Linked DNA regions of Xenopus tropicalis. The protein of the gene in region 2 purifies or fractionates together with the protein of the main gene of each other region. This does not show direct contact. Links are inferred from orthologs where the notes say so. Each region holds a gene or a part of one and is shown on either strand. Other genes may lie near its edges.

The links.
Region 1: the proteins of sik2 (region 2) and ppp2r2c purify together in Homo sapiens (affinity purification with mass spectrometry; 3 studies listed by BioGRID and IntAct, counting the BioPlex papers as one, with this or other methods). This does not show direct contact. The link is inferred for Xenopus tropicalis from reciprocal best matches to the Homo sapiens genes SIK2 and PPP2R2C.

Annotation. Positions count from the first base shown.
Region 1 is NC_030677.2:25,387,935-25,392,059, forward strand, and holds the start of ppp2r2c (protein phosphatase 2, regulatory subunit B, gamma), read left to right. Parts: upstream 1-1,325; 5' UTR 1,326-1,671; coding exon 1,672-1,741; intron 1,742-4,125. UniProt on the Homo sapiens protein: The B regulatory subunit might modulate substrate selectivity and catalytic activity, and might also direct the localization of the catalytic enzyme to a particular subcellular compartment.
Region 2 is NC_030683.2:84,190,230-84,194,294, reverse strand, and holds the start of sik2 (serine/threonine-protein kinase SIK2), read right to left. Parts: upstream 2,801-4,065; 5' UTR 1,732-2,800; coding exon 1,597-1,731; intron 1-1,596. UniProt on the Homo sapiens protein: Serine/threonine-protein kinase that plays a role in many biological processes such as fatty acid oxidation, autophagy, immune response or glucose metabolism.

The sequences.
Region 1 (4,125 bases), on a different chromosome or scaffold from region 2:
TCTCATTATCCTCTGTATAGTAATAAATACTGTAAATTCATAATGCTGAGTGTATATTGCAACCTAGACACTGGATACCCCCACACTTTGTGTTTTCTGCCTCCTTTTAGATTGTAAGCTCTATGGATCAAGGCTGTCTTTACCTACTGCATGGGCCACTCTTTGTATGTGAATTGTGTGTTTAAAGCATACACTCATTTATTGTACATTGCTGTTGGTACTTATTAAATGCACATTATTGATATTAATAATGGTACCCCTAAATAAAATCTACAATTCCCATAATGCTACCCTGTAGAGAAAAAAAGATCCCTGGCAATTCAACAAGAATGAGGCCCCCGAAATATTTGAGTTGGTTTCAGTTAGGGGTGCCTTGGGATAGAATTCCGATATGTATGCGACTGTTACACAATATATGCCAATTGTTCAACCCTTATCTTCACCTCTTGCAGGGCCGGAACTAGGGGTAGGCAGAAGAGGCAGCTGCCTAGGGTGCAACCATCAGGGGGTGCCAGGCAGAAGCCTCTCCTACCTACCCCTAGTCTGCTCTCTTTAGCCATTGCCCCCGCCGCTTGTCATCGAATCACGAACCTCCCCCGCGACTGCGCATGTGCGCTAAAGCACATGGGGAGTGGTGCGAGGTGGCCGACGGGGTTGCCTAGGTTGCCTAGGTTGCCCTGTTGGCTTGGCCCGCCCTGACCTCTTGTATCGGTTATTGATTGCTTTATATGTTACTCTGTATGTCCAATATATGTAACCCACTTATTGTACAGCGCCAGGGGTAGGCAGAAGAGGCAGCTGCCTAGGGAGCACCAATTGGGGGGCGCCATGAAGCCTCTCCTGCCTACCCCTAGTCCGTGCTCTTTAGTCATTGCCCCCGCCGCTTGTCCTTACGCAGAGGGGGCAATGCTCCATCAAATCGCAACACGAACCCCACCCCCCGCGTTCAACTGCGCATGTGCGTCAAAGGGGGGGTGCGAATGAGGAAGGTGCAGGGGCGAGGTGGCCGACCGGGTTGCCTAGGGCGCCCGGTAGGCATAGCCCGCCCCTGTACAGCGCTGCGGAATATGTTGGTGCTTTATAAATAAATGTTAATAATAATAATAATAATAACAACCCCCCCAGGGACCAGTGCAAATGCCCTTGGTGTCCTGCCCCATAAGCAGACCTTTGGCCAGTAACACACATCCCTGAGCCCCCTTTTCCCCGCAGTGTAATGCTCCCCGGTAGCAGTAGTAGCAGCAGTAGCAGTAGCAGTAGCAGCCCCTGATGCAGCCAGTGACTGGTGCGCTTGGCCCAGATCAATGTGCCTGGGAGGGGCGAGTTCTGATGCAGCAGCACAAGCCTATGACAGCAGCAAGCAGGCAAGTCGCACACTGCTCTCCCAGTCTCACGGCTGCTTTTTACCGCAGTGGGCGATCGCCTGGAAGCCAAGCGAGCATCCCCCAGCAGGAAGGGAGGAGGACGGTGCCCAGTGAGCGATCGGAGCAGCCCGGCGGGTCCCTATTGCTTGCGCAGCGGTGCCCCCCCCGTATCAGGATGGTGCGCTCCGGGGCTGGCTGCGCTCCCTTCCCGCGTTAGGCAGCAGCACTATGGATGGCGCTCTTGTAACGACCTCTGCTCATTTCATCAGTCCGCTGGGGACAGGCATGCTGAGTGCCGCTGCTGTCAATGGGCGAGGACGTGGACACGCGAAAAATTAACCACAGCTTTCTCCGGGATCACAACTATGTGACTGAAGGTACCAGCCCCCCAAATATCCCCCCCCCCCTCAGTGTTGTGAATATTGTGCCCCCTCTCTGTCACTTTGATTCCAATTGTGCCAGCCACACTGTGTCTTGTCATGGTATCCCCCGTGTGTGCCAGTCTATAATTCCCACTGTGTTGGGTATCATGCATTGGGGGGGCAGATGGGAGAGTCCAGCAGCATTGGCTTAGGGCAGTTAGGAACAGGTCCTGCCCTGACCCACTGAAAGGGGTTATTTACTGCAGAGTGGCCAAGTGAGGAAATCTAAATGACATAGGGGATAATTAACCAATAAACTACTCACTTCAGAAATGGTACCCAACCTCCTAATAAATCCTGTGAGACTGAATATCATGGGGATTTTCTTTGATTTGGTCAGTTTTTAGATTCAGTCAATTAATATTTAATAAATTTTGGTTTATCTATAAAACCTTAACCCTGGTATTTGTCGCCCTACAGCCAAATTACAACTCCCCCCCCCCCCTCCAGGGGTTGCTGGGAGTTAATGGTTGCTCAGCAGAGTGCCTGTCTATTGAGACAAATAAATGCAAAGCCAGGCGTTAAAGTGTCGGGTCGGTGGAAGGGGCACATTATTTGTGGTTCCCTCTGCCCTGAGCTTGATGAGCAGAGAGGATCGTATGTGAGGAGCTGACAATGGTGGAGCCGTGTAACAGCAGAGCAGTGAAAGCGCTCGGTCATGAAACCCTTTGGCTTGGTGCATCTCAGGGCAATAAATGTTTAATTAGTGATCCGAGAGCCTGCGCTCTAACGTGGATCGACAATAGTCAGGTCAGCAAAATTGCATCCCATGTAAATCGACCCACATATAAATGGCTCCAGCTGCAATTCATAAGGTTCCTAGTTCGGCCAGTCACACGGTCACGGATGGCTAGAGATACATGAATATCTATGGGCAATTAGAGGTGGCAGATATATATTTAATGCTAAATTAGATGGACTAGCGTGTGCTTGCATGTTCCCTTCAGAGACTGTTCCCCTGGTTGGCTTCATGGATCATTATTGGGTGACCAAGGGCTTAGCGCTCCTTATAAATGCACCCATCACAAGAAGGTTCTGCAGCAGCTTAGGCCTCTGCTTTATTAGATGGCCTAGTGGGTGTAGTCATCTATCTGTCTATCTATCTATCTATCTATCATCTATCTATCTATCATCATCTATCTATCATCATCTATCTGTCTGTCTATCTATCTATCTATCTATCTATCTATCTATCTATCTATCATCTATCATCTATCTATCATCTATCTATCTATCTATCTATCTATTATCTATCTATCTATCTATCTATCTATCTATCTATCTATCTATCTATCTGTCTGTCTGTCTGTCTATCTATCATCTATCTATCTATCTATCTATCTATCTATCTATCTATCTATCTATCTATCTATCTATCATCTATCTATCATCATCTATCTGTCTGTCTATCTATCTATCTATCTATCTATCTATCTATCTATCTATCTATCTATCTATCATCTATCTATCATCTATCTATTATCTATCTATCTATCTGTCTGTCTGTCTGTCTGTCTGTCTATCTATCTATCTATCTATCTATCTATCTATCATCTATCTATCTATCTATCTATCTATCTATCTATCTATCTATCTATCTCCCTATCATCTGTCTATCTGTCTATCTTTCTTGTATCTGTCCTTTTCTTCACCCATCAGAACAGACACAGCTTGAACATAGATTTATATTTTCTTTACCTTCGCATTTTAGCTGTTGTGCGTTGATAAGAGAGATGAGGGAGATGTGGAGACTTTGCCTGGATGCCCTGGAATCCATTAGATGTTCCTATGGGGTAGAGCTGAGGGTGTATTCTGTATATTCTTTTTGATGACTGGATTTGTTCTAAGTCTATTCTGATTCTTCCTCTGTGGGTCCTAATACAGTATAAAAGGAATAATTATCCCCACTTGTAAATACATGGTTATTAGACATAGTTGTGTGATCATGTAGGTATCAGGCCATGGTATACAGATGATGGAACTCCAGTGTGACTTGTAATATACGGTATCTCTACTTCTTTTTTTAACTTTTCTTTCCCCATTATTTCTCCCTCTCTTCTCCCACTCTCTCCTGTTCTCCCCTCTCTATACCTGTATTCACCTTTTTCCTTTACTTGTGTCCTCCCCTCTCTTCTCTTTTCCTTTTATCCCTTCCTTTCTGCTCGCTTTCTCTTCTTTTAACCGTTCTACTTTTCCTTCTCCCCTAATCTGCCCCTCATCCTTTTTATTCTGACACTCCTCTTATCCCGCACTACCCCTTCTCTCCCTATATCCTATTTTATTCTTTCTTTCAGTGGCGTAACTAGTGTGCCCTGGGTCCCCCTGCAAAAAAATCTTCA
Region 2 (4,065 bases):
AGAGTGTCACTCAATCTTGGTAGTGTGACTGGAGTTGGTTTCTATACCTGAGATTGTGACTACAAGGCATTTTATGGCAACATAACTAAAATGCAGAATTCATGTTCTGTTCAGATGACTTATCATAAAAACTACACACTGGGCAAACAAACAAACCATGAACCCATTCTCTAAGAGAGATGCTTCACTGAAATGCTGCAGTAACCAATAGCAGCCAGAGATATACCTTTAATCAGTGCGATGCAGTTGGAAAAAGCAGGAAAAATTGATTGGTACTATGGATTAATGCACAGCTTTACCTGCGGTATTAAGTGAGGGGCTAAACCTGCTAGGTGGCTCATAAATCAGCAGGTAAACATGAACCGGTGTTCTTGGATTCTAGGGAACAAATTGGTTACTAGTGCAGTTCATAAGATACTTGGCCGAGTAGGTTTTGCCAGTCACCTGTAACTCTGGCTGTAAGTGAGAAAAGCAACAGCATGTTTGGCAAACCTTAGCGGTTGTTGAACCCAAACCCCTAGTATTCCCAGACAGAAGATGCTGGTACTTTATGTTTGACTTTGCTGTCTTTGGGCCACGAAACAGTAAGCAATGTAATGAGATTTAGCAAAATAAAAGCTGTTTGTACCCAAACTTTGTTTGCTAAAGTATTTCTATGCCAATTAATATGTTTATTGTCTCCATGGTGCCACACAAAGCAGGTCTGTACTGTGATTTTAAAGACTCTGGATTAATAAGAAATTATAGTTATATAATGTGGCATCAATAAAAAATAAAAATTTTATTATTGCAGTTGGCAAGATGTTTTTATTTTTACTATTTATTATCTTTACCCTTACTTGGCAGTGTCATAGTTGACACCAGTTGTTAATGGGAAAAGAAATGTCACGTTTAGGTGGCCACCAGCAGACCTTACCAGGCTAAAGCAATGGCACACTTGGATCCCCAAAAATAACACTTACCAAGTTAGAGCAATAACCTTACCCTGTAAACTATGCCATACTTAGACACCACAAGCTTAACCATTAAAGGGAAAAATGCCATATAGGAGAACCCAGCAAAAGCCTTTACCAGGATAAAGCAATGCCATATTTAAAAGCCCAGTAATGGTACTTACAAAGGTAATGCAAAGGCATGTCTGGATGTCTAACATAAGACCTCACTAGTGTAAAGGAGTATGGGTGCACTGCAAACACTCTCACAATTGTAAAACAATGCCATAAATAGGTGCCACTGCCCAGCACCTACCAGGTAACACCAATGCCATAATTACATGTCCAGCATTATCACTTGCTAAGGAAAGGTAATGCTGTAAGTTGGTGCCCAGCAAGTCCTCAGCAGCAACACTCCCTACCAGAACACAGCACTGTCACATTTGGGTGCCCAGCACTTTGCAGGGATAAGGCAATAGGCAGAAAATGCCCTTATTGGCATAATAGAAAATGGAAATAGTTGAAATGTAAAAGAAGCGGCTTCCCAGCTGTTATTGCGCTAAAACACGCTGCAGTTTTGCGCCAAGAGTTGTAGTGCAAGAACAGCAGAGGGATGCAGTGAAGCTCACACAAGTTATTAGCCAGACATTTGGCCAGTACTTGCCTCGGTTTTGGTGATCCGGTGCCTCGCCAGCTTCACCACCGCGAAATTCCCTTTCCCTAAAGTGCGTTCTATGTCATAAAATCCGACCCGGACAGGACCCCTCTGTACAGGCTTCTGACAGTCCGCCATGACCATGCTGGGAGCCGGGCCAGGAAGCTCCAACGGGAAACAGACATCAACCGGCACGATTAGTGCTCACACCCCCCAACAAGTCGCAGTGAAAGGAATCGCAGGCAGATCCTACAGGCGCTCACAGGGGGCTCACCTTAGCCATTCCTTATAGGCAAGTGCAACCCAACGCAAACTACATTCAGCTTCTAGCGCCCGCACATTACATACAATCGCAAGACTTTTCTGTAAAGTTGATGGTGGCGAAGAATTCCCAAATGGAACGCGTTACTGCTTGCATTGTCCAGCTCCTGCCATGTGTTCAGCACGGTTATACCCGAATGAGCTCTCACACATCCATGCAAGGTGGGAACGTCTGACATTAACATGCAAACAAAACGCAACCAATCGGGCTGAGTTTTCACAGGTCCGATAAAGTCAGCTCATCAAGTCGTTGCAGGCAGATTTACGGCTAAAGTGTTGCAAAGTAACGAGCATTGTGCAGCTCCCATTCACTTGCACAGAGGTATTGTTAGTCGCTGTAGCACGCGTGCGACCAGACACAGGGAGTGGAGGCAGCTGTGCAGCAGGAAGCCAATGTACCGCTCTATGCACAAGGCATCATGTTCTCACAGTTAACGTCCATTGACGTCAGAGCAGCAGGAGGCCTCCTGGGCGGGCCCTTTATTCCCTGTCTTTTTTTCACAGCTCGCTTGCCAAATAGGTTGCCCTTGACAACCGGAGCCAGCTCTGACGTCAGCAGCCCTCTGCTGAAGCTGTCAGTCAAGGCTAGCACAGGGAGAGTATACATGTGTGTGTGGCTGAGGCGCTGCCTGTTCGCACATAGCAGCTATAGCTTAGAGGCAGGATGGCAGCCCCGGGCCTGCTGCTGCACCGGGGCTCAGGGAGTTCCTGATCAGAGCTACGAGAAACATGCGAACAATTGGAAGCAGGGGGGCTGCATACATCCGCATTTACACAGCACTCTTTATTAACGCATGCACATGTTACTGGTCTTAATTAATTATTATAATAATAAGTAGCTCGCACAGTAACTTTGTTCTTATGGTGTTCCCTGGGCACGGTGCTCCTGGAGAGACAGCGCCACCACCGGCATCTGTGGGGCATGACAGGCAACATTACCCTGGCCCTAGCTGTGCTCTCTTAGGGCTGCTGTTCTATCTCTCTGTGCCAGGGCTGGTGTGGAGATTAGAGGCTTGTCGAACCGGGCTGTCAGCTGAGGGGAATAGGTACTCTGCTACCGCTTGTGTGCCTAGTGGGTCACTGACTAATGAACATTTTATGAAACTATCTTATAATTGCAACCCCTTTTTGGCTGCAAAACAAAGACCAGCTAGATGGGCTATGGAGCATGGGGTACACTTGACTAACACACAGGATGGGCCTTTGTTATGTGAAAGGACCAAGGGGGACATGTAGTTGTGCAACTACAATTCACTTATGCTGTGTGCAAAAATAAAGAAATAAAGGGTACCAGATGGTTCTTGCAGCAAACTCAAACAGAACTCAGTTTATTTGTCCAAGACAAATGGTCCACAGGTTAATGCAGTAATACTCACAATGCAGATGCAGGGCAACAGATTGGCACGTTAAATGCAGAGCAAGCAATGTAAAGATGCACCACTGTAGGGCATCTTTTTCCTTAAAGTTTCTTACCTTAATGGACCAGATCCCAAACAGCAGACATATATGAGGGAGAAGGCTATGCCTGATACCCTTGTTATAACTGTGGCCCCTTCAATTAGGCAGTGGAGACTGTAAAGGAGAATATATCCTGCACTTACTAAATCCTCGTTCACAGGGTCCCTGCTCCCCGACTTCTCTAGAGATAGATGGCTTTACTGAGGCCTTGTTGATCATGTACCTGTTTCAACAGATGCAGGCCAAATAAGAAGTTCTCACCTCCTGCTGAACACTATGTTACAGTGTGCAGCAAGTAATCATAAGTCTCATGGGCCAAAGATACAAAACATCCTTATAGCAAGATAGATACATGGGCTTCCGCCCAGTAATAGTGAAATAAGGAAGTGTAGGGTTTAAAGCTATTGGGAATGTTAACACTATAGGCCCCTGAATATTTAGTTAAACTGTAAAATGATTTTTTATAAAGAGCGCAGTAACTTCTACATACGCCGCTGTCTCTTGAAAAACTGCTGCTCATGCCCAAAATAACTATTGGCTCTTATACCAACACACATAAACTGGTGTCTTATGTGGTGATTTATGTAAGCACATTTTATATTTATATACAGCTATTTGTACACACAGGGCTGTAAATTGAGCAAGAAAATAAGTAGCCACTGCATACAGCCTGGAAGTGGTTTCATTGTTTTCTATAAG